2 linked regions of the Ovis aries genome follow. The protein of the gene in region 2 binds, or shares a complex with, the protein of the main gene of each other region. Links are inferred from orthologs where the notes say so. Each region holds a gene or a part of one and is shown on either strand. Other genes may lie near its edges.

Region 1 (3,746 bases), on a different chromosome or scaffold from region 2:
AAGAAAGTAAAGGCAATCTTCACAGTGAGTGAAAGTATACAAAACCAGGAATCTAGACAGGTACATTAAAACTGAAGCCCCTGGTACACTGGTGCCCTTGCTGTTTTGAGAGCCACATGAGTGAACCAGAGACAAGCCTACAATGTCTGAGAGGAGATACTCAGAGTAAGTTTGAAACCTCCAAAGGGCTACACCTGTATAGAAGTGAACAAGAAAAATAATCCAACTCTGCAGAAGAGGAATTTGACAGTCTCACTAGGTAGAGAGAGAAAAAAATTTCCCTCTAGAATTTCTAACCAAAAGCTGGCCTTACATTAGATTCGCAGCACAAATCCATACTACCTATTTGCTACAAAACACATGAAGCTGAGAATTTATTTAAAGTCATTCCAGCTTGGTAGTGCTTCAAGGCACCTGAAGAGGAAACACACATGCTAAGAATATAGTTTTCCAAATTCTAAAAAATCTGAGCTTATATTAAAAAATTATACAACAAAAAAAGCACGATGAGAAAGTCTGCAGGAATAACGGCAGCATCAGATCCACAAAAACTGTGGGTATGAGAATTAGGAGACACAATATAAATATCAGGCTTAATATATTTAAATATATGTAAGAATTACAAATAATATAGGATTAAAGAATCATGAATTATTAAAAATGAGACTTGAAAAATAAGCAGAACTCAAAAAAAAAAATTTTTTTAAGTAACAATAACTGACATAAACTGAAGACAGAATTAGTGAAGCGGAAGAAAGACCAGAAGAATTTACCCAGAAGCAATATAAAGAGAAAATAGATGGAAAATTATGAAAGGGTGAGAGAAATGGAGTAGTGGGTAAAGTCTAATAAGCAACTAATTAGAACTCCAGAATGTGAGAACATAGGTAAAGGCAATATTCAATGAGACATGGCAGATAATTTTCCAAGGTTGACGGAAAAGAAAAAAAAATCAATCTTTACTTTCAGAAAGCCCAGCAAATCCTACACATGATAAACAAAAGAAAGCCACATCCAGATACACTGTAGTGAAACCACAGAACCCCAAAGACAAAGGGGAGTTCTCAAAACTATTCAGAGAATCATGTTCTTTAAAGCACCCATGACTAATTCTCATCGAAGTAAAACTACCTTGAGTACAGTGGAAGATGCAACAGTAACACCCAGATCATCAAGCAACATTAGCTTTCTGTATTTTTTTTCTTTCCTTTTAAATATCTTAAAAGGTTTAATTCACCGAGTATAAAAAGGATAAGAAAAGTGTAATTTTCTAAAATAAAAAACGACCTCAAGTTTCCCTATTACTTCAACTGTACAGAAGAGAGGGATCGGACCAAAGAACACAACTGTTTATTCAGTACAAAAAGTAAGTCACTGGATTTGTTTAGGTCGCAAACAGATTGAGAAAGGGCAGAGAGGAGGAAAAGGATACGCACTTGCAGTTGGTACAGGTGTAGAAGACAGTCTGCCCTTCATCGGCTGATCGCATCTGCCTGGTGTGGTATGCCATTCCCTCGTGCCCACATCGAGAGCAGCGCCTGTCAACCTGGAAAGCAACTGGTGGGATTAATAATCTCCCTTTCCGGTCACAGACATCAGGCTGTCACACTCCCCAGACTCTGATGTTTTAAAGACCCCTCTTCCCTCTTAAAGGACTTCCCACGTGGCACAGTGGTAAAGAATCCGCCTGCCAATGCTGGAGACGCGGGTTCCATCCCTGGCTCGGGAAGATCCCGTGGAGGAGGAAATGGCAATCCGCTCCAGTATTCTTACCTGGAAAATTCCATGGACAGAGGAGCCTGGCAGGCTACAGTCCACGGGGTCACAAAGAGTCAGACACGACTCAGCACAGCACACACCCTTCCCTCTTGGAATTAGGTACAAAACTCTCCAGATCTGTGCAATCGCCCCTCCATTTCTTTCCCACCCTCCTTTGATGGGGCCAGTCCTGGATGTCATTCACTCACCACAGGTCCCTGGAACTCAGGTCCTTCCTCCATCGACAAAGGCATGGCTGTCCCCAGTTTGTTAAACACAACTGAGGTTTTCACAACCTTCCCCTCAAAGTCTGCGCAAACAGTAAGAACTGGTTGTGGAGACAGTAAGGAGTGCTGACACCCATAACTCCCTCTCGGTTAGGACAGGAGGCCTTATATTCTTCCCTTCAGGTTTCGACCCAAGGCCAAAAGTGCCTGATTTCCTGCTTCAGGGTCCCCCTCTTCAATCCAACCGATATTAAGGTCCTCAAGCCACTGACCCTTTCACGCTGGGCCCTCTGCCGGGGTCGCTGCGTACAAGCCCCTTACCTCGCACATTGATGGAGAAGCCACAGCGGGTACAGGCGACCGCATCCTGAGCCCCGGGCAGAGGCAGGACCGAGCCGCAATCTGGACAGAAATCCAGGTCCGACTGAAAGCTGGAGCAGATGCCGGCGAGGTCCATGACGGAGGGTGGTCGAGGACTGGGAAGAAGAGGAGATTGCTAACAAACGAGAGTAGCTCCCTCCCCACTGAAGGGTCATTCCTATTCTGTCCCTGGACCTAAGCATACAGAACCCGAGTCCTTCTCCCACGTATGCCTGTGCCTCTAAGACCAAGGAGCCCACATATCCAGAATTCCAAACCGGGGTCCGGTACTTCGACTTGGGGGTTTGCTTACCTGGGACAGGCGAGAAGAGGAAGCCAACTCCGCGAGCTAGAACGCCGGCTCTACGCCGCTGCGGACTAGCGAGAGCAAGCGGGCTAGAGCGCCCTGTCGTCCGGCCTGTCGATTGGCTGTTACGTCATAATTAATCGCAAACTTGATCCCCGGAGGGAGCGGAACCTTTGAAGGAAGGTTGTAGCGCTACTTTCAGGCTGGATTTGTGATGTTGGATAAGAAAGCAGGTGATTGAAGCTGAGCCTCCGGTTGTTTTCCCCTCACTACCCAGTTCTGGGAACTACAACTTCCCCTGTTCCTGAGTTGGTTCTTTTTTTTTTTTTATTTTTATTTTTTTTCTTTTTGAGTTGGTTCTTTTAAAAAAAACAAAAACCAAAGCGAAACATTCTGGAAGTTACAGTTCTAGCGCTCCTCGGACCTCGCGATGCAAGCAAGGGCGCTCTGCAGAGCACCGCCTGGCTCGAGTGCTGGGCCCTTGGCGACGAAGAATTGATGCTTTTGAACCGTGGTATTGGAGAAGACTCTTGAGAGTTCCTTGGACAGCAAGGACATCAAAGCAGTCAAGCCTAAAGGAAATCAGTCCTGGATATTCACTGGAAGGACTGATGCTGAAGCTGAAACTCCAATACTCTGGCCATCTGATGCGAAGAACTGACTTATTTGAAAAGACCCTGATGCTGGGAAAGATTGAAGGCAGGAGGTGAAGGGGAGGACAGAGGATGAGATGGTTAGATGGCATCACCCACTCGATGGACGTGAGTTTGAGCAAGCTCCGGGAGTTGGTGATGGACAGGGAGGCCTGGCATGCTGCAGTACATGGGGTCGCAAAGAGTCGGACGCGACTGAACTAAACTGGGCCTTTGGAAGGGGTGAGTCGACCTCTTACCGGGCATGAAGTGGAAACGGTGAAGGCGGAGGAGGAATCCTAGTCACTAGGAACGAAAGGAAGCAGGGATGAAGTAGGACACTTTAGGAAGGGGCTCAAGACTTTGGAGGTAGTGGAACAGAAGAGATTGGGACTCCTTCCTCTTTAGATGCCCGTCAGATGAGGGAGGTTAGCATTAGTCAAGGGAGCAGCCTTGTGACGA
Region 2 (3,746 bases):
GGGAGAAGCGGGGCAGCGAGCGCGTCCTTCCCCGTAGAGCGCACACCGACCCCCGGGGAGCGAGCGCCAGCCCGCCCGCCTCGCCGGCTCCGCTCCCTCCCACAGCCTGCCCGGGCGGGCTCCGCGGGGGGCAGCTGGGAGGAGGGGCGGGAGCTGGGGGGACCCGGGCGGCCGAGGCGGAGGGAAGGAAGGAGGGGAGGGGGGTAGTGCTGGTGGTGGTGGTGGTGGTGGCGGCGGCGGCGGCTGCTGCTGCCGCCGGGGAGGGGGGGGGGGGGTCGGGGCAGGGAGACACGCAGCCGCCCGGATGGCGGCGGGGCTCGGAGCCGAGGCGGGCGGGCGCCGAGAGCGACCTCGCCAGACCCGCGGGGGAACTAGCAGGCTCGGCCGGCGCAGGAGGGAGGGCGCGAGGCGCGACCGCAGAGAGGGTGCCGGAGGGCCCCCCGGCAGCTGGAGAGGCTCCGGGGGTGTTTGCAGCCCAGCTCCAGAGCTCTCTCCCCCAGCTCAGATTCGGGCTTCCACTCCAGCCCTCACCCGCTCACTCGCCCGCCTCCCGGAGCGGGCATTTCGCGCCCACCCTTATCCCCGGAGCGTAGCCACCGGCTTGGGGCGCACGCAAGCCAATCGCCGTGCCAGGCTTCGGAGCCTGCCTCGCTGCTAAGCAGCACACACACGAAACTTGAAAAAAAAAAAAATCCCTAAAAAATGTCCTCTTTGCAAATTAAAACAGAAAAAAAAAATCTTCTTTGCTCTTTAAATCCCACAAGCGGCGATAAAGCTACGAGTCGGCGGAGGAGCCTCTGTGGGAGCTGGTTCAATCCAGCCCGGCATGGCTCCCCAGGCCTGCCCGGGCGCATGGAGATCGGCGCCGCCGCCACTCGTAGAAACCCCTCTCCCCCGAAATCCGCGGCGCCGGGGCTCACTTACCGAGCGTGTGAATGGGAGCACGGGCCAAGGGCGCCTTAAGGGTGCGGCGGGCCGAAGAGCTGAGCCGCAGCTCCGCCGCAGCCGACGCCGGGGCAGCAAGCCGCCAGACAAAGCCCGAGATGGCGAAGCGGAGCGACGGCTAATGGCGAGCCCCACGCGCCGCGCTCCGCCCGCCCCGCTCCGCCCGCCCGCCCGCCCGCCTCGGCGCAGCGCAGCGCCGCTCCGAGCGCTAGCCCGTCAGAGCCGCCTCGGCGCCGCCGCCTCCCGGGCCACCCCGGCCTCGCCTGGCCCCTCCGCCTCCTCCGGGCGACTCAGCCTCACCCCTTCCCTCCCACCGTGCTGGGGGCTGCACGAAAATAAAAAAAAAGAAAAGGAAAAATGCTTTTCTTTTTTTTTCCTCCTTTTGGCAGGGCGGGCGTGTTGAGACTTTCGAGTCTTTTTGCCCCCAGCTCGCACTCACCTGCGGAGCCGCCGGGAGGGCTGGGGGTGGGGGCGCGTGGGGCTGGAGCCGGCGAGCGCGGGTTGAAAGCTAGCCAAGCTCTGCAGCGCCCGACCCGGGCGTATACGCCGCCGCCAGTCCCCGCAGAGAAATCGTCCTCCTACCCCCGCCTCCATCGCTCTGCGTTTCTCTTCCAATCAGCCGATCGCTTGGCGGCTCCTCCATTCTCCGGCCAAGCCTGCTGCCTAGAGCGAGCTCCACTCCTCCATCTGCTCGCCCGGCTCCTCGCTCCCCTGCCGGGGCCGGCGAGGCGACGTTGGGCCGGAGGGGGATTTGCGAGGGAACCTGCCGGCTTCCCGCTCCCATTGCTCCCTCCCCGCTGCCTCCTGCTTCTCTCCTGCGTCTTTCCAACTCTCCCCTGTCGCCACTGGTGTGTGTCTGAGTGTATGCGCGGGTTTCTTTCTTTTTTTTTTTTTTTTTTTATTGCTCTTTGCTTTTGCAACCCTGGAGCCAAAGCAGGGTGGGGGGGAGAGAAAAGGGGGGGAAGGGTGTTACCAAAAAAAAAAAAAAAAAGCAAGCAAGAAAAGCTCTTAGGTTTGCAACACATTGGAAAACCGGGGGAGTGCCCCGCCTCGTCCGTTCTCGGTGCCCCGCGAGGGCCTTCCGGGTTTTAGAGCGAACCTCTCGCTATTCTCAATGCCCCTCACCTCCTCCGAGTTTAGGATCCGAGGAGTCCGAGCAAAGAGTTCTCCCCTTGGGCCATAGTAAAGGGGTGTCAGGGTGAGAGTTGGGGGCATTTTTCAAGAAGCAGCAACCATCCGTCCCACCCCTGCTTCGGTAGCTGGGCCGCGGGAGTCGGTTGAGAGCAAAAATCCCGGTGGGTTTAGGCGAAGGGGATTCCGGGGCGAAGCGGAGCCGCGAGACCGCGCTTCGCGCATCTCCCCTTCGGTCTCTGCCTCCAGTCTCCAGCCTGCTCCCCCTTTAATTTCCAAACCCCCCCCCCCCTCCTTTAATCTAATTTCTTCCAACTCCACCTTTGTTGTTAACCGGCGTCACGCCCGGACCAGCCAATCCCCGGCACGCTATCAGCTTGTCAAAAAGGCTTGGCCAGCCCTGGGAAAGCAGGCCGCGGGCTCTGCTCCCCCTGCCCCTCCTCCCCCCGGCGGCGGCGGGGAGCCGCGAGGGGAGCCTGGCACCCCGGCCTCGCCGCCAGAGCCCCAGCGGGGCAGCCTTCCCGTAGGCCTCCGCTCTCCACCATCCTGCGGGCCGGAGATAGAAAGGCCTAGGCGCGACCACCATCTACCCTCCCACTGCCGTCGGCTGCGGTTGTCTGTCTCTGCCTCTCCTCCACCGAGAAAGGTTCATCTGGACGCAGGAAGCCAGAAGACGGTCTGAAGAACGCTTGCTTCCATCAGGCGAGCCTACGGTTTGGGCCATCGCTCCGGGGCGGCGCCATCGCCCCCGGCTCTAGGGATGCCAGCCTACCACAGCGGCACTGCCAGCTGGGCCGCCGGCCCCTTTGGACTCTTCCCCTGTCACACAGCCTTCTCCATCCCCACACCACGGCCTCGCTGTTGCTGTAATTTATCTTGTCCCCTGGGAGAACTGAGAGTCCTTTCCCAGGACTTCCACAGCCCACATCTGCCACGTTTCACAAACCGGGAGGAAAATCTTGTCAAGATCTGGTGTGTCCGAATTTTTTAGTGGGTAGGCGGGGCCAATTTACCTTGATGCTAGTGAAGCTTAAGCTTCAGGGCCCTCATCGCAGGCTATCTCTTTACTTTTGATTCATCATTTGGTATTATTTTTTACTCGCCCCTCCCCCTCCCCACAAACCCAGTTCTGCCCTTGGAACTTACAGAGGGCATTTTGTGAAGGACCAAGCCATGTCACGCTGTACTTAGAACCTGCTGCTGCTGCTGCTAAGTCGCTTCAGTCGTGTCCGACTCTGCGTGACCCCACAGACGGCAGCCCACCAGGCTCCTCCGACTCTGGGATTCTCCAGGCAAGAATACTGGAGTGGGTTGCCATTTCCTTCTCCAACTTAGAACCTGCAGGGAATGACTTTCTTGTTTTGACTTCGAAACATCAAAGGGTTTGGAGTCAGAAGTCCCAGGTTTCCAGCCTCTGGGCTTTCCCACCTTAACAGTGTGAGTTTGGTTAAATGTCTTAACTTCATCTGATCCCAGTTTTCTTGTCTATAAAATTAGAATAGCAGCTGTGTGGTTACTTCAGTCCCGAGGGTCGCTCGGCAATTGCATCGGCGGCGAGTATCCTGCAGCATTTCCCCACTACTGCAGCGGTAGTCACGATGAGTTTGCCCCTCAACCCCAAACCTTTCCTCAGCGGATTAACAGGAAGGCCAGTAATGGTAAAGCTTAAA

What was found. Proteins that work in one complex are often made in the same cells at the same time.
Region 1: UBTF (region 2) and POLR1H share a complex: the UniProt entries of both Homo sapiens proteins name them as parts of the pol I pre-initiation complex. The link is inferred for Ovis aries from reciprocal best matches to the Homo sapiens genes UBTF and POLR1H.

What each region holds. Positions count from the first base shown.
Region 1 is NC_056073.1:27,951,305-27,955,050, forward strand, and holds the start of POLR1H (DNA-directed RNA polymerase I subunit RPA12), read right to left. Parts: upstream 2,719-3,746; 5' UTR 2,659-2,718; intron 2,462-2,658; 5' UTR 2,443-2,461; coding exon 2,307-2,442; intron 2,069-2,306; coding exon 1,968-2,068; intron 1,547-1,967; coding exon 1,385-1,546; 3' UTR 1-1,384. UniProt on the Homo sapiens protein: Core component of RNA polymerase I (Pol I), a DNA-dependent RNA polymerase which synthesizes ribosomal RNA precursors using the four ribonucleoside triphosphates as substrates. Can mediate Pol I proofreading of the nascent RNA transcript.
Region 2 is NC_056064.1:43,774,367-43,778,112, forward strand, and holds the start of UBTF (nucleolar transcription factor 1), read right to left. Parts: upstream 2,324-3,746; 5' UTR 2,071-2,323; intron 1,489-2,070; exon of another isoform or gene 1,385-1,488; intron 1,195-1,384; exon of another isoform or gene 1-1,194. Other genes in the region: small nuclear ribonucleoprotein F-like, read left to right, coding at 3,675-3,746. UniProt on the Homo sapiens protein: Recognizes the ribosomal RNA gene promoter and activates transcription mediated by RNA polymerase I (Pol I) through cooperative interactions with the transcription factor SL1/TIF-IB complex.